Xenopus tropicalis: one gene and its partners. The protein of the gene in region 4 interacts with the protein of the main gene of each other region in a pairwise test. Links are inferred from orthologs where the notes say so. Each region holds a gene or a part of one and is shown on either strand. Other genes may lie near its edges. The genes, in order: hspe1, lamtor5, gadd45g, eef1a1 and ikbkg.

Region 1 (4,089 bases), on a different chromosome or scaffold from region 4:
GATCGAGCAGGCCCTTGGGCCCCTTCCTCTTCATCCCTTTGACCTTCCTCCTCCTCCAAACAGATCTTGCAGCCTGCTACCCTCTCCTAGATCTGCAAGTGTAGTAGAACGTAGAATCTATGATCAGTGGCACTTAAATACTTTTATCCACAGAATGCAGATTCTACATTCTGTGGCATATAAATGGTTAAAGAATAGTGATAAATGGAACATTTTCTAGTTGGAACAATGTTTATCCTTGGTCTTTGACCCTCATTTGTTTATAAATGACCTTAAAGATGTCACTCTAAAAACAACCACTGTTTTGCTGGTGTTAAACTGTGGAAAACTATTGGTTTCATGCAGGATGTTTTCACTTTGCGGAGAAATTTTAAAGAGGATGTAAAGTCATTTTTTAAAATACACATATAGATTCTTAGCACTACACTTTGTAATATATGTCTGTTAAAAAATGTGATACTTGCTCGGATGTAAAAGCGTTTGTTTCTGCAGCTTTCTTTTCTCTCCCTTGATTACAATCCCCCTTGAAGTTCAGAGGCCCCTGGCCTTCATACTAACCTGGTCCTGAGGGACAGCAATTCCAGAACAAATATGTAGCTGTGTGAGCGTTAAACACCCTTGACCCCTGTCTAACAGTTAAGCATTGAAGGGGCTGCCAATAAATCATACGCAAGAAGGACACTGAACTTCAAAGGGAATCTCAATCAAGGAAGAGAAAAGAAAGTTGCAGAATCGATCGCTTGTATCTCAAAAGGATACAAGTACGCAACCACAATATTTTCCTACGACTGATTTGAATTTGTGACATTTCCAAACATCAGAAATTACTGTAGTTACTCCAAATTATTTGCATATCGTGATTTTAACCACAAAAAAATTGTGGTTTAATGAATTTGCCCCCCATGAGTTTTGTTGTTTTACACCATGGTTTGTTAATTTACTTAGTCTGATTGGGGACATTTGTCCTATTTGATTTTATGTCACCATGTTAAGTAGTAATATGCTTTTCTGACCTTGTTGACCACACTGCATTCTAATTTGTAGTACCTGGGGATTTTTATTGTATCAAATCATATGAGGGTTCTGTATTGGTTCCACTTTTATTTAATGTGTTTATTGATTACTCAGGGGAGGGTATTATAAGGAATGTATCAGTGTTTTCAGTTGACACAAAACTCCCAGTAGCCCAATGAATTCTATCCAGGATGTGGCATCCTAGCAGAAGGATTGTGACAAACTAGCAACCCGGGTGGCTATGTGGCAGATGAGATTTAATGTCAATAATTGTAATGTCATGCACCTGGGATGTAAAAATATACAAGCCACTTATACCCTTAATGGGACTGGACTAGGCAAATCCATAATGGAGAAGGACCATGTAGATAATAAACTTGGCTGTAGCAAACAATGCCAGGCAGCAGCTGCAAGGGCAAAAAGGTTTTGAGCTGTATTGAATGGGGTATAGATAGATGCTTTATTTACCAGTAGGCCCATGCCCTTTCTGCAGACACGAGTGCACCCATTCAGACTAAAAGAAAGGAGGTCCTGTTCAGAGCTGTAAAGTTGTGGAATTCTCTCCCTGAATCAGTCAAACTGGCTAATACATTAGATAGCTTCAGGAAAGGGTTGGATGGCTTTTTAGCAAGTGTGGCAATACAGGGTCATGAAAGATAGTTCATAGTACAAATTGATCAAGGTACTGATCCGATTGCAGTCTTGGAGTCAGGTAAGATTTTTTCACCCTCTGTGCTAAATTGGAGAGGCTTCAGAAGAGATTATTTGCCTTCCTCTGGATCAACCAGCAGTTAGGCAGGTTATATGGGCATAAAAGGTTGAACTTGATGGACATCAACTATGTATAAACCACAATCTCCCTTCACCAATGGATATAATTGTGACTGGTCTCTGTTCACTACAAGGCACCGAATCAGCCTTGGTGCAGACATGGGGGTGGAATTTTACTTGAAAATGCATGAGTTACCATTCCTGCACCAAAATCCACTGCACTCAGGCTGAAGCAGTGTCTTTCAGTGTATACACAGGAGCAAGTGGATCAGCTGATACTCTGCCTGTGTATAAATGCAACCAAGTGTGGTACTAACCTTAAAGGCCAGAGCGTCAACTACTGACAGACAATGCCTTTCCTAATCTGGACAACTATTCTGAGCAGCAGAACCCTAAACTGTATTGCTGCCCATTCTTTATATGTGCAGGTTGTACATGACCAGGTGCAGTAAGTTTAAAGAAAAGCTGAAGTGTGATCCTCATCCAATGAACAGTGTATGAGCTATCCCAAAAGCATGAAACAAAAATGTAGAGAAAAGCAGGTAAATAGGACGTCTAAAGTGGACAGTTAACAAACCTTATAAAACTAATTATTACATAAAACCCATGCAACACAATCTATAAAGAATCTTGATCAACCCTAAATCCACAGAACACTGAATCTATGACTTGCGACTATTCTTTAATTTATAGTGCTGCTCATTTTAGCCATAACACTTGAAAAATAAAATAAAAAGCGTGTCTTAAACATCATGCAAGCTTGCATAGTTTAACTTTTTACAATATGTATTTCAATTATAATCCCCACTTACTTGTACGCAGGACATCATTCTTCTACCTTACATATTACTGGTGAATGTACAGCAGCAACAACGCAAATATACGAATTAACTATATAAATAACAAAAACTGGCACATCATGCGATAGTCAGGCATACCTAACGGTTAAACGCAGCACTCACCATAGTTAAGCAAGACTTGATGTGCAAAGCAGCAACCAACTCTACAAGCTCCTAGCGCAGACTGGGACACTTGACCTACAACCACGTGAATAGAAGGCAAGCTTTGCACATGCGCAGTAGAATTAAGGGACGAGCGTAAAAACACACAATCAGGTGTAAAATAGAATTGCACTAACCATATGTTGTATATTTTTTCAACACTATATAGTCCGCTTTGTATTAAAACGAATATTAACGACTAGTTCAAAACTCATCAGCCCAAGGCTGATGAGCTTTGAACTTTAGTTTTTTGCATCCGGGTTATCTGTCAATGTCACCTCGAACCTTGGAAAGCGAAGCTATTCCAGAACGTTCTGGAAAGGCGGCCCAGGAACTAGTATATCGGCATATGCTTAGGTCGTTGTGCAAGCTCATACGTAATAGGAGGAGCAACTTGTTCAGTTGTAATAAATGCCAAGGGGGGTTCTTTTATTCAGCCGTGTTATTCGTTCATGCTTAGCCCGTGGTAGTTAAAGCTTCCGGAAGGCTGAGGCACGTCATTCCCAGAGGAGGTTTAGAGCTTGTGCTGTAGGTCTGACAATTCCATTCGGCTGCAGACACGTGTGTGCTTGTACAGTAAGTTGCTCTTCGCTTTGCCTGCTCAGGTGAGTTGCTGGACCGGCTTCTTTTTGTGTCATTCTTCTTTCACAATTGGGCTTTGAGTGTAAATTGCAAGAATTAACTGTCATTTCTTGCAGCTAGCCGTTAGAGCAATGAAACATTGTGAATTCTCAAGTTAAATTGGTTTTCAATATGAATTTTTTTTTTACATTTCACATACAGCAATAAAAATGAGATTACAAGTTTATATGTTATTATAAGCTTATATTTGTTTATAAGCAATTATATTGGTGCCGAACGCGTGTATTGCAGTGATTTGTAAAGGACGAGTCTTATTCTAAAATCTAAATCATGGGTTGGTACATACAATTATTCAGTCTGTTCCCGTAGAATAAGATTCTGCCTACAGTAAATAATACAACATACGTGAGTGGTTTAACCATTGTTAGTGTAGCAAAGCAGATTCATTTGTTAAACTAGGTCCCCAGTGTGAGCAGCGTAATATGCAATTATGAGTGTCACTTTTCTGACTGTTTTTATATGTATTGCAATACTCCACTATGTATTGCAATTCAGTACTAAAAAAAAAATTGGTTGTAGTTCTGTGAAGTTCATTCATATTATGACCTTGTGTATTATGCCCTTTCAGATACCTGCATGTCAGGTCTTTGTTATGTCATCATCCCAAGTTTAAAGTAATTAAGGGGAACTTCTCTCCCATTTTTAGGGCATTCTTTAATTC
Region 2 (4,002 bases), on a different chromosome or scaffold from region 4:
TGGCATATATTGTCTGCTGCTGTCAGGGGCCCCAAGAGAATTAAAAACACAAGTAGGGTGGGGCTTGCATGGAGTAGGCAGGGTTTTGGACTAATGAAGCATGATGAGGGGATCAGGGGCATGGTTGTGTGTGTGCAGGCCATGGTGCCTTCAGCCCAGGTGACCAATGGATTAAAAACCTATTGTGTTACTTAACAGGGTTTACCAAAGGGGTCAGTACCCCCATGCAAGAGTCTGTTTGTTTCTACTGACTCTTTCACAGATTACTTTGGCTGCAGAGTAACAGATAGCAATCTCCATAAAAGGGAGAGGGAGCCTTCACATAAGACAAATATTGGAAGTTCAGCAGCTACACCAAATGGTCAAAGGTAATTCTCAGAGCAACGTAATTAATATAAAGCTGTTCCTCCGTTTGCTGCTATAATAGCCTCTACTCTTCTGGGAAGGATTTCCACAGCTGTTTATTTGAATTAAGCCTAAAAATGAATTTGTTAACCTTACTCAGAGTGTTCCTCAGAGTACTTTTGCAATTTACATCAATTTTCAATATTATACACAAAACCAATGTAAAAGGGTACTCACATCCCAGACTTAGCCCCTGTGAATCTGTACACAGAACTCCAACAATTGATGGATTTTTCATTCTGAAAAAGTAAGGAACGGCAAAACACTTGTGTCAAGATACCAAACAAATACTGGTTACCTATCTGAAAGCTATTTCAGCTATATCATCTCTACTAGTTCATAGGATATTATAGATATAGATTATTATAGATTAACCAAACAAATTTAAAAAGTGATAGAGTGGCCATAGCTGCCATTTTGTCCTTATAGTCAGGGGAAAAGAAAGATGATGTTGCAAAGTTTAGACAATTAGTCAGTCTCTGATGTTTCTTGTGTCAGTATTAAACAACACAACTTTTCTCAGAAATATATATATACTTCCAAATAGATGCCGGCACTCACTCACTCAGGTCCAAAAATTATTGAATATACTGGAGGAAGTGTCAGTACTCGCAGGACTTGTTGTTTTATTATATAGGAGACTAAAATTTCGGCTAGCACTCTAGCCTTTATCAAAGTGGTGAATACAACAAACTCAGTGTCTAAAAAGCACACAGTGGTGGGAAAAAGTGGAGATGACGTAATCCTACGTTACCAGACAGAGATCAAAATTATATCAAAAATAAATAATAACAAAAATTATATAGACAGGCAATAAAAAAAGAATACTAAATGGACAAAATAGAAAGTACAAGAGAATAACCACAAGGTCTAAGAAGAGTAACACTTTTTATGAAGCTAGATGTCAGGGATGTACCGTGAAAGTCAGAATATTAGAGTAAAATAGTCAGAAATATAATCAAGTGTTTAAATAAAGTTGAATCTTGGTTAAGGAATCAATAATATGTGATCGCACTGTGGGCAGATCGATCTGTGCAACCCGTTTATTAAACACCTCTATACAGATCATGCACTAGAAAATACTCACTAGCAGAGGATCAAGACCATGAATGTATTTGTTAAGTAAAATTCCAGGTGTAGAGTCAAACAAGGAAGCCACATGGTTGTGTGTCTGCTTGGACACAAACACACATCTATATATACACTTATTTACAGACCTATATGTACACACGTGTTGTTGCACATATACACATACAATTACACACATATTGATGCACATATATACACATGTGCACCTAAATATTTACTTATATATGTGTCTATATGTGCACATATATAAGCACTTTCATACACACATACGCATGTATATATGAGCACCTATGCACGCACCAATGAATACAGATATATATATATATATATATATACACACAATTGCAATAAAGGTTAGCACTCACAGGACTTTGGTTAATATTCACCAAAAAAGTTTTTTAGCAATATCTTACATGGTTTTTATTAATCCGACGTTTCAGCTCCACACAAGAGCCAGTATGCCTGACTCCATCAAAACATGCACAGCCCCCATCCCTTTCAGTTATGCCACTTTGCCCACCTACACAACTCCACTCCATCATCCTCCTCACATAACCTACCTGCCAGCCACTTGTGCCATTTCCTTACACATAACTGCATGGCCACCTCTGCCACCCAATTCACCTACACAGTTTCATGAGCCTTCTCACCCCCAATAAGGATTTACATGCAGTTAACTCATGACTCCCCAAACCTCCATGCCTGATATTGCACTGCTTCCTCCTAACAAAAACTCCAAGGCCTCCTCTGCTTTTCGAGTAAACCCCTCCAACAACTTCCTTGCAATTAATCTGTGCATCCGAATTTACATCCCCTCTTCAACTGCCTACCCGCCTAACAGCAACAACATGGTCGTTACCTTGTGTAACTAATAGCTCACACTTATGCTTATACCCCCTCCCCCAGATGCCCCAGTCTCCGAATGAACAGTGACAGTGTTCACCGCTTCCTCCCCCCACGATTTCCTCTCCTGAGTGAGATCACGCATGTAGGAATGATTAAAAATAAGAGAATCTGAACTATTACCAGCAAACTTAAAGACACGTTACGAAATTCAAGTTCTGAAGTGCATTTCTGTCTGTTTGAATTATTTCTGTTCTTTCGCTTTAAATGTCCTGATTTTACTAATTGAAAAAAACCAATTAATTTTATTTTCCTTAGTATGTGTTTACAGAGCACTCACGTATCTTCCAAATGCTGCTCCAGAGCCGCTTCCATAGCTGAGTCTCTTCTTCCTGTCAAAAAAACCTTAAAGCAGTTCCTCTTCCGGGTGTTTGCTCATGTGACCCTCCCGGTCAGCTGACTGTTAGACAGAAGGTGGGGCTAATGGGAGTTTTCGTTTGCAGTATTTGAAGCTCTGGCGCTATTAAGAAAAATCAATGAATGAAAAATACTATTAATATGCTTTGGCTTAATGGTGGTTCCGCTACAATGCACAATGCTTCATACAAAGCTAACATACTCTGAGAATAGGTTTCTTGATTACTGTTTTTACTGGCCTGACAGTAGGATTCTTGTCCATTTTGGTTTCTTGACTTCCTTTTGCAATTTAGTGTTTACAGAGGGTTAACTGACTTTGGGTGTCACGTGGGTTAATGTCCAGAGTGAATTTTACACCCAGTTCCATGGAGCTCTAGATTTGTTACTGCACATGACGTTGTTTCTTCTCCCAAATGGATGTGGTGGGCTTCAATCAAAGGAAATAAAATATTTCTAAAATATATATTAAAGGGTTTGTTCACCTTAGTTAAGTTAAGTGGCTATTGATAAACATAACCACAGAGTTTGTGAATGTGGTAAGAACTGAAAGCTCTACTGGGGCAAGGACAGATGTAAATTCCCCCTACTACTACCTGCCCAATCCTTAACTTGCATGTTATTCCTCACCTCATGCTGGATTGTTTATTAGGCCTAGGGTGCAGAGTGCAACCAGAAGCTTGACAGAAGTGGTCTTTTGAATGAGAAACTAAGAGTTATGCTATTGGACTTATGTCCGGGTCATATAAAAATGATCACTATTCACTTTCAATTCTTGTGCCACTCGGCACAAATGGTGGTTTTTGCCAGACTGTTCAATAAAAAACAGGAGAGGGTGCCCTTGCATAGAGTAGCATGCATTTATTCTAACAGGATGCTCCCACAGTTAAGGGTATGGGCCCAAACGGCTTAGTGTCAAGATTTTTCAATATTTTACGAGAAAACCCATCCTATACTAGCATATGGGAAAACACAGATACAGTTACATTCTTTACATAAGCTCACATTGCAGTCACGCTGTAATAGGGTAAAACACTACAATACTCTAGGCTGCTACAAGCTTATCTCTCTCTTGAACACTAAAGGTGGCCATACACAGGCTGATTGTAGCTGCCGGATATTGGTCCCTTGGACTGATTCGGCAGCTTATCGGCCCGTGTAGGGGCAGCAACGACTGCCTGCCCGACTGATAGCTGGCCTAAAATTGCCAGATATAGATCGGCAGGTTAAAAAATTCAGTTGGATCGGCGA
Region 3 (3,897 bases), on a different chromosome or scaffold from region 4:
GCTCTTTTCTGTCTGTGCAGTAACAAAAATCTATCTATGCAGCAGCCCCCTGTCACTCTAATGCACTCATTAGGCATGCAGCCCATAGACCTTGCACGCTCTTGTGATAAGCAGCTGTCGCTGAAGGAGCAGCAGGTCAAATGGTCAGGGCTCAATAGAAAGCATTAGCTGCCTGCTGCAGACTATGGATTATACCAAGCAACACAGCCCCCTTCTATGCAAATCTTATTGTGCACTGCTAACAAAAGGGATGACTACAGCACATTGGCAGCTTTCTGAATAGCCAATGTAGTGGGGTAAAACAGACTGCATTTCTACACATGCCCAAACAATAGGGGCCCAAACTGTGAACCAACAGCTATTACAAGACTATAGCTTTTTTTGTTTGGTTGTTTTGGGGGATGCTTATTATTTTGTTCATTTAGAAAATGTAGGTAGCTCAAGCGCTGGGCCGCAGGTATAAACACCCTACCAGATAAGCATAAAAACCAAAACAAATTAAAGTGAGATTTAAAATGATTTATTGAATGACAGAAAACAACATTTTAAATGCCAAGTTTCATCAAGAAAAGCACTTCAATTTGCAACAGTGTCAAAATGTTGAAAATACAGAAAGTCTTTTTTTTTTTTTACTATGTATTCTGGGTAGTAGACTGTAGTAGTAGACTGTAATAACCAATAACAAGCTGCAATGAACAGAATTCAGTCTCAGTTTGCAATCCAGAGCTATATAGTCCCAGACTCTTCCAATGTGTATATAAAGTTCATGTTTCATATCTCAGCAAACTCCAAAAGCAGATACAGAACAGGTTCTTTCCTTTAACCAGCTGCTTAATTTGCCTCATATCCATCTTAAAAGCTTCCATTTTTGCTTTTAGCACATGCAAAACTCCTCCAGCTCCATGGCATGACTGCCCCCCCCCCAGTGCTTTGGGAGGCTTCAAACTGGCACCAACCCTTCCTTTTACAGATCAGTCCATGTTAAGTTTTCCTCCTTACTCTTCTGCTCCACAAGAGCCAACATCTTTGCCAGTCTTGGCGACTTAATCTGACCTCAACCAGCGTAATCCACAGACTTCGGAATGCTGCTGGTCCATCCAGGTGCACAACACCATGATAATAATGCAGAGATTTTACAATCTAATGTAGAGAAAAGATGTTCACTCTGGCAGGGTGATACTGGGAACCCAGTCGTAGACTTTACGGCTTTCATCACAGAATATACCCAGTTTCTCCAGGGCTGGATCTTTCCAGGCATCCTCATTTGGATTCTGAGAAAAGAAGAGGAACAGAGACTATGAGAACACTGTGCTTACAAGAAATTGCACAAGTCACAGCCATGGGCACAAAGCCAAAACATTGCCGATAAGCAGGAACATGACACTTACCGTAATAAGGATGCAGTGCAGGTCCTTGGGCTCTGCAGACTCATCTGTTAAGCCTAGAATTTGAGCTACTTTTTCTGTGTCATTCAGCCTCACGATATTGATGTCATTTTCACAGCAGAAAGCTTGAATCAGAGTGAAGTGGATCTGAAGGGCTATATCACCCTCGTCGTACTCGTCTGCAGCCAAGATGCAGAAAGTGACACTATCTGGATCTCTGTAAAATCAAATTAAAAAAAAGAGAACATTAGTTCTGCTGCCAGCAAGCCTCAAGTGGGACTGTGTGTGGGCTGTGTTACATGCATGCATGAGTAAAGGGTGTGTGTGGGATCAGTGCAAAGGAGTGGGATACTTACACATTCATTACTTTGGCAGACTCATAGACTCCAACGGTCAGACACTCCTCTCTCTGGGCAGAGACCAATAGTTCATGCAGGGCTTTGCCAGCAGTTTGCATCCTACACAAGACAAATAAAAAGAAATGCATTTAGAGCCAGATCATAACTGAATATTTCTTTCCATATAACTGCAAGACTGGATGCTATGGCAGAAATCCCCACACTCCATAAAAGGAGCTTTAGCTAATGCCACCCACTCATGTTCCCCCATCTGCTAACTGCACATAGAGCTGCAGCTACTTCCCAATATGATCAATAATATTGCACTTTGGCTATATGCAACCAGTGAGTCCAAATCTCTGCACCCCTGGATCATAGCGCTTATTTCTGCGGTCATTTCTCCCTTACAAACGCTTTACTCTACTACGACCCTCCTGCAGAGCTGGGGTTGAACTACAAATCCCAGAATCCCGGATAGGCAGGCGGTAGATCCCTTAGAATAAAAGAAGGCGGAATTGGTATTCTGAAATTACCTGTCAGCGCTTTCAACAACGGTTTCTTGTCCGTGAACTTCTTCCAGAGTCATGATTTTCCGGGTAAGCCACAAAAATGTGAGTGCGAGAGACTTCTCAAATATCCACCAAAGGGTCCGGAAGAAGAAGAGTATAATATCCACAGTAGCTTCAGAGCAGTTAGAATCCCAAGCGAAGTGTGAGGAAACGGAGCGACTGAGCCGGTATTTATGCGCTGAGAGGCGTAGGCGGGGTCTGGTCTCACTCCTTTGCTCTGATTGGCCGGGCGGGGGAGGCATTGTAATGCTAATAGAGCAACAGAACGCGTGCCAGAAGGCCACGTGGGGGAGGAGACGAGGGGAAGGGGGGCAGTAGAAAGGAGGGGGGGGCAGTAGAAAGGAGGGGGGGGGCTCAGTAGAATGGCCGGCCGGTGGGCGCACTGGGTTTTTTTTTTTCTTTTACAATGACTCAAAGTCTGCCTGCTGCCCTTTGTCATGCTGTTGCCAGGCAGAATGGGGGTCTTATGATTTGGGCTTTGCACGAAATGGGAGAGAACATCAAAAAGATCCTTAAAACTTCAGATCTTTGCACTGTGTGTCACAAATGCACCAACGGCAACACATTGATTTGTTTCTGCTGTTCTGGGAACACTGACTATTTATTGGCTTGCTCATGAGCTGTGTGTGCAGGGGCAGCAAGCATCATCTGGGCACAGGGCTACAACTCATGGGCTCCATTAACCATGGCAGTGCTGGACAGGTGGGCCCTGTGGCAGGGTGCTCCATACAGGTGTGCTGGGCAGGGATATTATGCTCATTAGCAGGGAAGATCTGATAACCCTTACTTTAAGCAGACATCTGGCCTGCTGCTATTAATGCAATAAAGGCGATTTTAATGACCCTGCTAACGTGGGGGAAGGACGAGGCCCTGTATACAGATAATGGGGGCTGTGTTTGCGGCAGATTGCGAATGGCACACGCTGCTCGTTAGCATTTGTATAGAGGGGCTCACAATGGGGAGAGGGGCTGGCGTGTGGCAGTTTGCAGATCAGACAATCGCTCCCTTCTTCTCCTTACTAGGGACAGAGTCCACCTGCCGCTGGGGTGGGGTCCTGTAGAGGAAAGTGGGACACAAATGGATCTGACAATCTGTTCCACATCGCAGCAACCCCCCCAGCACGCTTCCAGGCTCTGATTGCTTTTTGGGGGATGCAAGGCTTACTTTAACCCTTTCTGCACGGTGCCTAATGCCTTTAGCCCTGTGCACAGCTTGCAGTATGCGCAGCTTCTTGTTAGTGAATTAGTCTTCTGTCCCCTTTAACTTCATAGGGGTCTCTGCAATGGTTATTGCTTTCTATACCCCACTGTTATCTCTGATCCTTACTGCACTTTCCTGGCTCCACACTAACCCCCTGTGCAAGTGGGGCAGGCAGGCAGTGTGTATCCTTACAGTACCATATTAATCTCGGGGGGCTGCATTGCAACATCGTTACTGAACTCATTCAGACACATGGAGAATGGGAGCAGACAGGACTAGACAGGGTGGAATGCACACGGCTGTAGCTGCAGTTCCAGACAGAGGAGCAGTCAGGAAAGGAAGCCAACTCTTGCACACTGGCACCCACTGCTACTTATGGCTTATTATATAAATCTGGGCCACCCG
Region 4 (3,974 bases):
AATGGTCTCAATTTGGTGACAGATTTTGGTCAAGTTGCTTCCATTTAGAAATTACTGGATTTAAAACACTAATAACTTAAAAACTGCCACAAACAAATGTGTCCACGAGCATTTTTTTCCTTCTGAAGCTTTTGCGATGCATTGTAATCATTAACCAGTCTTTGACTATTAAACTCTGATGGCCAATTGATAGAAAGAGTTCTGAGACCAATCCTCCACCACTGGTTATGACTGAGGTGAGAGATGCTGGAAATATTCATTTGCCTTTCTGTGCTTTCTGAGCAGACTTTGTGACTTTGCCAGCTCCAGCAGCCTTCTTATCGACCGCCTTGATGACTCCTACAGCAACAGTCTGCCTCATGTCACGGACAGCAAAACGACCTTGAAAAAAATAAATGGATAATTAGCTTAAGGGCCTACTGGGTAGCATTTTACAAGACTGCAAAAAGGTTATTTTGAAAAAGACTTACCAAGAGGGGGGTAGTCAGAGAAGCTCTCCACGCACATAGGCTTTCCTGGGATCATGTCAACAATGGCAGCATCACCAGACTTCAGGAACTTGGGATTGTCTTCCAGTTTCTTACCAGAACGGCGATCAATCTTTTCCTTCAGCTCAGCAAACTTGCAAGCAATGTGAGCTGTGTGGCAATCCAACACAGGGGCATATCCAGCACCAATCTGGCCTGGGTGGTTCAGGATGATAACCTATTAAGTCAGACATTTAGAAAACAATCTTAGAGTTATGCAAAGCGATTTAAATGCCCCCATAGCCAGCTATGGAAAGCCATATCACTTCCTTTAGCCATAAGCCATCTTGCATACCTGTGCTGTAAAGGTACCAGCTTCCATTGGTGGGTCATTCTTGCTGTCACCAGCAACGTTGCCACGACGGACGTCCTTCACAGAAACGTTTTTCACGTTAAAGCCAACATTGTCACCGGGCATGGCCTCGCTAAGGGCTTCATGGTGCATTTCAACAGATTTAACTTCAGTTGTTACATTAACAGGGGCAAAAGTAACCACCATGCCTGGCTTAAGGACACCAGTCTCCACACGACCAACTGGTACAGTACCAATACCTGAAAGAAACAGCCATTTTAGTGTGAATACTTTAACATACTAAATCCCAGCACTGCCAAAACAAGGCCTAAACGTACATGTTGGCAATTACTAGTCTTCCTTCTGGAGACTTGTTTAGAGTGTCTAAGCTAAAATTAGATTTATGAGCTCTTTGCTGCCAATATTTTATTCACTAGACATTAAAAAAGCAGTAACGTAATATATCAAAGCTGTTAACTAGGGACATCCATGCCTGGTGAACTTCAAATTTGTTACTGCAGTTGGGGGGGGAGGGATTATTTCAGACAAGCAGTTAACCTGTACAAAAAAAAAAAAAAAAAAAAAAGGCTGCTAAGTTTTTTTAAACAGATGCACGATTTTTAACTTGGTTTCCCCCACAAACCATGTAGGCCAGTAAACCTAAAGCACGAACAACATTCCAGCATACACATAGGAAAAGTGTTACTTACCGCCAATTTTGTAGACATCCTGCAGAGGCAGACGCAGAGGCTTATCAGTTGGGCGACTTGGTGGCAAAATGCAGTCAAGAGCTTCCAGCAGGGTAGTTCCGCTGCCAGATCCCTCTTTACGTGAGATTTTCCACCCCTTAAACCAAGGCATCTAGAAAAAACAAGATTTGTATACATCAAAATACTGTTACACTAACCAGAGAGTATGCCAGGCTGTAGACATTTAAGTGAACTGCCACAGTACTTACATTGGCGCTGGGCTCAAGCATGTTGTCACCGTTCCATCCAGAAATAGGTACAAAGGCAACAGTATCAGGGTTGTAACCAATCTTCTTGATGTATGTGCTGACTTCCTTAACGATTTCCTCATATCTTTTCTGGCTGTATGGGGGTTCAGTTGAATCCATTTTGTTAACACCAACGATCAGTTGCTTTACTCCCAGAGTGTAGGCAAGGAGGGCATGCTCACGAGTTTGTCCGTTCTTTGAGATACCAGCTTCAAATTCACCAACACCAGCAGCAACAATCAGGACAGCACAGTCAGCCTACAAGAGAAAACATACATTTTTACTCATGTGCACTTAACAGCAAGCCTGCCTCACCTACTTTAGATATAAATAGCAAAGCTGCTTGGGACTTAAAACCTACCTGAGAGGTACCAGTGATCATGTTCTTGATGAAGTCTCTGTGTCCTGGAGCATCAATGATAGTAACATAATATTTGCTGGTCTCAAATTTCCACAGGGAGATGTCAATGGTGATACCACGTTCACGCTCGGCCTTCAGTTTGTCCAAGACCCAGGCGTACTTGAAGGAGCCCTTGCCCATCTGTTAGGTGAAAAGTTCAGCAATGACATGATTAAAAACCCCTTACAAGGCTTCTGCCAAGAATGACCTGACACACTGCAATGTTTATACTCCCCCTACTATCACAAACACCCAAGGCAGGTGGCTATTAATACAAACCAAATACAAGTACACATTAGTGCACAGGCAAGACTTGTCTAAACAAACATGTGCAGGACTAAATATTTAGTAAGGGGGGGGGGGGGTGAGACTGCTGCAATACCACAAGAAGTGCGATTGTTAACAAAATTTACCTCAGCAGCTTCCTTCTCGAACTTTTCGATGGTTCTCTTGTCGATACCACCACATTTGTAGATAAGATGTCCAGTTGTTGTGGACTTTCCAGAATCTACGTGTCCAATGACGACGATGTTGATGTGAGTCTTTTCCTTTCCCATTGTGGATTGTTAGATGTTTGGCGGTGGACACTAAAAAACATCAAAAAAAAAAAAAAAGCTAAAAATATAGGTCACATCAAAGCAAGCCATGGCAGGCATTACTCAGCAGTTCCAAGGGCTGGAGACACAAGCAGCCCCACCCACAATTCAAGAACTTTGCACAGATATCTAGTTGGAAAAAAAACCCTGAAATCCCTCATTACATAAAAGGAAGAAGGCAAGAGCGAGGCCTGTACTCCCCCTGGTGTATGAGTCAGGCCCTGCATGCAGCGCTCCCAGCTCTTTTGTCTCCTCACTTGTGACTCAGCCTCCATCTTGTGGAGAAAAAAAAATCCTTCAGCTGAGAGCCGCCGCCATCTTTATGGAACAACCAGATGGGGGAACGCAACGCTAAACAGGACTAATGGTTTAGATACGTTTCATTTCTATAGAAAAGAGCAGAGCCCACACAGAACATTTAACCCAATAAGTAAGCAGCTGCTATCCCGCGTTCAAGCAGGGCCAGCAGTAACCCGTAGCACGCCGGCCATTTAGTGAGTGAAGCCGCCCCCACTGGCTCGGATACACCGGCCACGCCGAGCCTGCCTGGGAGAGAGGGTGATACACGTCAGCACTAGCGCCATTGTGCCAGCCGGGCCCTGACACTGGCAATAGCCCCAGTCCTGCTATAGTTCAGCGCTTACAGGCACCACAAACACTATGTTCGCCTGACCAGTCTAAACTGCACTACGTACAATGAATCCCATGTAGGCGCGCCGCCACCCATCCGCACAGCTCTCTCGCTCCTTCCCCAAACCACGTTCACTTGTCGAGCCTTAAGCATTTACCGTCTGGAATAATACAGCACCGGCAATATTAACCACATCCGCCTAAAGCCAAGTATATATTGAGAGGAGGCGGATGGCTTACATAGGAGAGGATGCAGCGCAGATTGGGACTAGGCCGCAAGCCTTGCTTTGGCACCGTTCTTCATTTTGCGCCCACTTTAAGCACCCATGTTCCCTTCCCGCCAAGATATCTAGTGTAACAATACGGTAACACTAATTGCCAGAAATACGCTAATACACAGCTGAAAGAGACCACGGCCCCAAGCAACTCCGTAACAAATGCACGCGTGGTTCCATAAAAGTTAAATAAACTACGGCAGAGGAAACCTATTTATCTACAATAACAACGGAACAGAACACAGCACACACATCCA
Region 5 (3,513 bases), on a different chromosome or scaffold from region 4:
CAATAGCTAACAATCCTGACTCTTACTTCTCGTCTGTGGCATTTTGTCTTTCCATTTTTAACGCTGTTTCCAAATTCTGTACTTGCATCATTCGCTGATCAAGCTGCACAACCTGTTGCTTCACTTGGGCTTCCCAGCCCTTTTTCTCCTCCAGGGCACTACGGAGGCTGCAAAGAGAAATCAAACACTTGGCACACACAAGCTGTTTCCAAGAGTATAGACCAATCACATCTCCTATGGAGCAAACCATTCTCACATTATGCACCAGGGTAACCTGCACAGCACTGCTAAATTTAAAGGGACAGTGACACCTTTTTCTGGTTACAGTGCCTTCTCAGCATGAGACAGAAATGGCACCATAGAGAGGGCCAACCAAGAGGCATGAATGGTCAGTGCCACAGGGTTGAATCAAGTCCGGCTCAAGTACGCATGAGCAACAGTTTAACGGATAAGTAAACCTTTTAAATAAGTTGATGTAAATTTGATGAGAATGCTATTCTAAGCACTAAAACTACTTCATGTTTGGAAAGTGACCAGCAGGTGGTGCTGTTTAAAAACTGCATTCATATTAACAGTACTTTTAACCCTCAATATATTGGGAAAAAAATAACATGTAAATTACAAAATTCATCTCATCATTTTTACATCAACTAATTTTAAAAGTTTTACTTATACTTTCAAAAGACATTGCCCTAGATTTTTTGACCCATCCTCTTCTCCTGGGTGACCAACGCAGGCATCCATCACTGTTTCCCATGGGGTACTAACCTGTCCTCTACCTTTCTCTTTTCCTGCAGGCAGATCTCCAGACTTGTCTGACTCTCTTTCAGCTCCCCCAATAGAGAGGTCACCTGGGCTTTTACTGAATTCCTCTCCTCAGACAGTTGCTGCAAGATCAAAACCAAGATATTGTTAATTCTGCTTAATATGACATTTACCTATAACATAATTATATCAATCCTAATACTGTATATAGAGCAGAGGATCTGATACTGATGTTTATGAGGCTGGGGGGCAAAAAATACCTTGGAAACTTGCAGCTGGCCCATGGAATGCCAGCTGGACAACCATATATAAAAACAAATTATTTTTTTTCATCATTCTGGCTGCAGATCATGTCCCTAAACCAGTGTTTCTTATTCTTTTTCTCAGGGGACCCAAATTAGGTTCAAACAAAAATAAATTAATCATTTACAGTTGTAATAGTTTCATCGTAACATCTTTGAAACAGTATAACCCATTATATTATTCTCACATGGTACCTGTACATATATCATGACTGTAATACCACCAGGCCCAGACTGGGGTTCAAAATAGGCCCTGGAATTTAAAGTACACAGAGACCCAAACAGCCCCCCCAGGCCCAATAAATAGTGAATGTCTATGGCATCTTACAGCAGCCCCTCTGGCATTTGCCTGAATCCACAGATTGCCTGTTTAGGCCTGAATAACACTGTAGAATTCTCACCTCCATCTGCAGTTGCAAACTTTGCAGTTGCTTTTGAGATTCCTCTCCTTTTTCAACCACCTGGCGCCTAAGCTTAGATACTTCCTCTTGTAGATCTGCAATCTGACGCAGAAACTGAGTATTCCTGCATTGGGAAGATATATTTACAGTGCAGCCTGTGAGCAAACCAGTGTACGATGTCCCTTATATTATACATGGAAAAAGGCGCTTGCGAGGGGATATGATTACTCTGTACAAGTACATTAGAGGGGATTACAGGCAGATAGGTAATGTTCTTTTTCCCATAAAAACCATCAGTGCACCAGAGGCACAGTAGGTGGTTTTTCATGCTGAGGGCAGTGAGGTTGGGGAATGCCCTTCCTACAGATGTGGTAATGGCAGATTCTGTTAATGCTTTTAAGAGGGGCCTGGATGAGTTCTTGGACAAGCATAGTACCCAAGGCTATTGTGATACTAATATCTACAGTTAGTATTTATGTTGGTATATATGGTTTATGTATGCGAGTATAAAGACAGGTCAGTATGGGTTTGTGTGTTGCTGGGTTTACTTAGAAGGGTTGAACTTGATGGACCCTGGTCTTTTTTCAACCCTATGTAACTACATGTAGCTACCCACCTGGCTTCAGCGTCCTGCAGTTTCTTCTGGAATTCCTGCTCAGTTCTAGAGTTCCTGGAATAAACACACAATTTATAAACTGCTTTGCCAGTTCATACACATAGCAACTTGTTACATTTTTTACGTCAGGCTCACCGGTCCACAGTTCCTTGCATGATTTCATTTTCCATACAAACTTCCTTGTTGCCATTTTCTTTCTGTAGAAAGTGAAAGAGAATAATGATAAACCATGGGACCAGGTCTCTGGAAAGTTGTTAAACAATGATGGGGCTCTTATAAAAAAAAAATGTGTTTTCATGATTTTAACTGCAGGACACCAATTAAATCAAAGTACAACAGGCCTCTACTTGTCAACCAATCAGGACCATCACCTTAATCCCTGTACTTGAACAAATGCAGGGCGGGAAAATAGAAGTGATCAGAGGTCTGTGTATCTCACCTGCTTGTTTCGGGATGGCCCCTCTTCATCTGGCACAGTCTGCCTGATTGTTTCACAGATACTGTGGGTCAGTGTTTCACATGAGGACAAAGAGCTCCCTGGGGTGGCGTAATCCTAACGACAGACACAGCGGAGCAGTCACACAGGGGCCAAGCCGAGGAGTCAGGCAGAGCAAACTTTCTAACTGGGCAGAGTATGTGATGAGCCTAGCTGTCTCGGATGGATCCAAATGCAAAGGGAGAAATCCTATAGATCGGGGTCCCCAACTTTTTTCACCAGTGAGCAACATTCTAATGTTACAAAAGCTGGAGAGCAACACATGCAAGCAAAAAGTTCCAGGGGTACCAAACATGGGTTGTGATTGTCTAGTGGTATCCCCTATGCAAACTGGCAGCCTACAGGAGGCTCTGTTTGGCGGTTTTGTTGCTTGTGAGCCACTGGTTGGGAAATCACTGCTATAGAAAGTAACAAGAGAATGCCCAATAGATAAAAAGGGTGTGGGGGGGGGGGGGGTGGTTGGTGCCTGATGACTAAAGTCTCTTCCTTTCTACCCCAGGCCAGTGCTCCACTTCTTAAAAAAAAAAAAAAAAAAAAAAAAAAACACACTAGCCCAGGGAACTTTCCATCAGAGTACTGTTATGCAATCTTCCTTCACTCTCCCAGTGCATTATGAGTCTAGCTGGCATGAGAATCTATGGGTCTAGCAGGACAAGGTAATGCAGCGGTGTAACTAGAAATTTCTGAGTATTTCTCTCTGTGGCAACTTTATGTTGCTAGGGAAACTTCTAACCCCCGGGCGGGGGCAGCTGTGCACATAGAAAAGGCCAACCCTATATTGCACCATAAAAGATTTTAATGTGCAACCCAGGCCATCGGCAGGGTAGCCAGGAAGTTACTGGCCAGTCTACTGCCTGCCTTCAGCGGCTGCTATACTGTAGCTTGATCCTCCTCCATACATTCTGCCACTTTAGCCCTAGATCGAAGCTTCAG

The links.
Region 1: the proteins of eef1a1 (region 4) and hspe1 interact in a two-hybrid assay, tested with the Homo sapiens proteins (2 studies listed by BioGRID and IntAct, with this or other methods). The link is inferred for Xenopus tropicalis from reciprocal best matches to the Homo sapiens genes EEF1A1 and HSPE1.
Region 2: the proteins of eef1a1 (region 4) and lamtor5 interact in a two-hybrid assay, tested with the Homo sapiens proteins (2 studies listed by BioGRID and IntAct). The link is inferred for Xenopus tropicalis from reciprocal best matches to the Homo sapiens genes EEF1A1 and LAMTOR5.
Region 3: the proteins of eef1a1 (region 4) and gadd45g interact in a two-hybrid assay, tested with the Homo sapiens proteins (2 studies listed by BioGRID and IntAct). The link is inferred for Xenopus tropicalis from reciprocal best matches to the Homo sapiens genes EEF1A1 and GADD45G.
Region 5: the proteins of eef1a1 (region 4) and ikbkg interact in a two-hybrid assay, tested with the Homo sapiens proteins (2 studies listed by BioGRID and IntAct, with this or other methods). The link is inferred for Xenopus tropicalis from reciprocal best matches to the Homo sapiens genes EEF1A1 and IKBKG.

The regions. Positions count from the first base shown.
Region 1 is NC_030685.2:46,535,975-46,540,063, reverse strand, and holds the start of hspe1 (10 kDa heat shock protein, mitochondrial), read right to left. Parts: upstream 2,811-4,089; 5' UTR 2,751-2,810; coding exon 2,748-2,750; intron 2,671-2,747; exon of another isoform or gene 2,616-2,670; coding exon of another isoform or gene 2,598-2,615; intron 1-2,597. UniProt on the Homo sapiens protein: Co-chaperonin implicated in mitochondrial protein import and macromolecular assembly. Together with Hsp60, facilitates the correct folding of imported proteins.
Region 2 is NC_030678.2:72,306,214-72,310,215, forward strand, and holds the start of lamtor5 (ragulator complex protein LAMTOR5), read right to left. Parts: upstream 2,805-4,002; 5' UTR 2,713-2,804; coding exon 2,678-2,712; intron 2,326-2,677; exon of another isoform or gene 2,158-2,325; intron 2,128-2,157; exon of another isoform or gene 2,087-2,127; coding exon of another isoform or gene 2,055-2,086; intron 645-2,054; coding exon 583-644; intron 1-582. UniProt on the Homo sapiens protein: As part of the Ragulator complex it is involved in amino acid sensing and activation of mTORC1, a signaling complex promoting cell growth in response to growth factors, energy levels, and amino acids.
Region 3 is NC_030677.2:138,047,705-138,051,601, reverse strand, and holds gadd45g (growth arrest and DNA damage-inducible protein GADD45 gamma), read right to left. Parts: upstream 2,420-3,897; 5' UTR 2,310-2,419; coding exon 2,257-2,309; intron 1,844-2,256; coding exon 1,742-1,843; intron 1,603-1,741; coding exon 1,389-1,602; intron 1,272-1,388; coding exon 1,161-1,271; 3' UTR 505-1,160; downstream 1-504. UniProt on the Homo sapiens protein: Involved in the regulation of growth and apoptosis. Mediates activation of stress-responsive MTK1/MEKK4 MAPKKK.
Region 4 is NC_030681.2:91,801,408-91,805,381, reverse strand, and holds the start of eef1a1 (elongation factor 1-alpha 1), read right to left. Parts: upstream 2,804-3,974; 5' UTR 2,774-2,803; coding exon 2,630-2,773; intron 2,358-2,629; coding exon 2,178-2,357; intron 2,075-2,177; coding exon 1,778-2,074; intron 1,681-1,777; coding exon 1,530-1,680; intron 1,080-1,529; coding exon 823-1,079; intron 706-822; coding exon 471-705; intron 382-470; coding exon 257-381; 3' UTR 1-256. UniProt on the Homo sapiens protein: Translation elongation factor that catalyzes the GTP-dependent binding of aminoacyl-tRNA (aa-tRNA) to the A-site of ribosomes during the elongation phase of protein synthesis.
Region 5 is NC_030684.2:25,692,634-25,696,146, reverse strand, and holds part of ikbkg (NF-kappa-B essential modulator), read right to left. Parts: intron 2,638-3,513; coding exon 2,524-2,637; intron 2,282-2,523; coding exon 2,220-2,281; intron 2,139-2,219; coding exon 2,085-2,138; intron 1,593-2,084; coding exon 1,469-1,592; intron 888-1,468; coding exon 769-887; intron 168-768; coding exon 27-167; intron 1-26. UniProt on the Homo sapiens protein: Regulatory subunit of the IKK core complex which phosphorylates inhibitors of NF-kappa-B thus leading to the dissociation of the inhibitor/NF-kappa-B complex and ultimately the degradation of the inhibitor.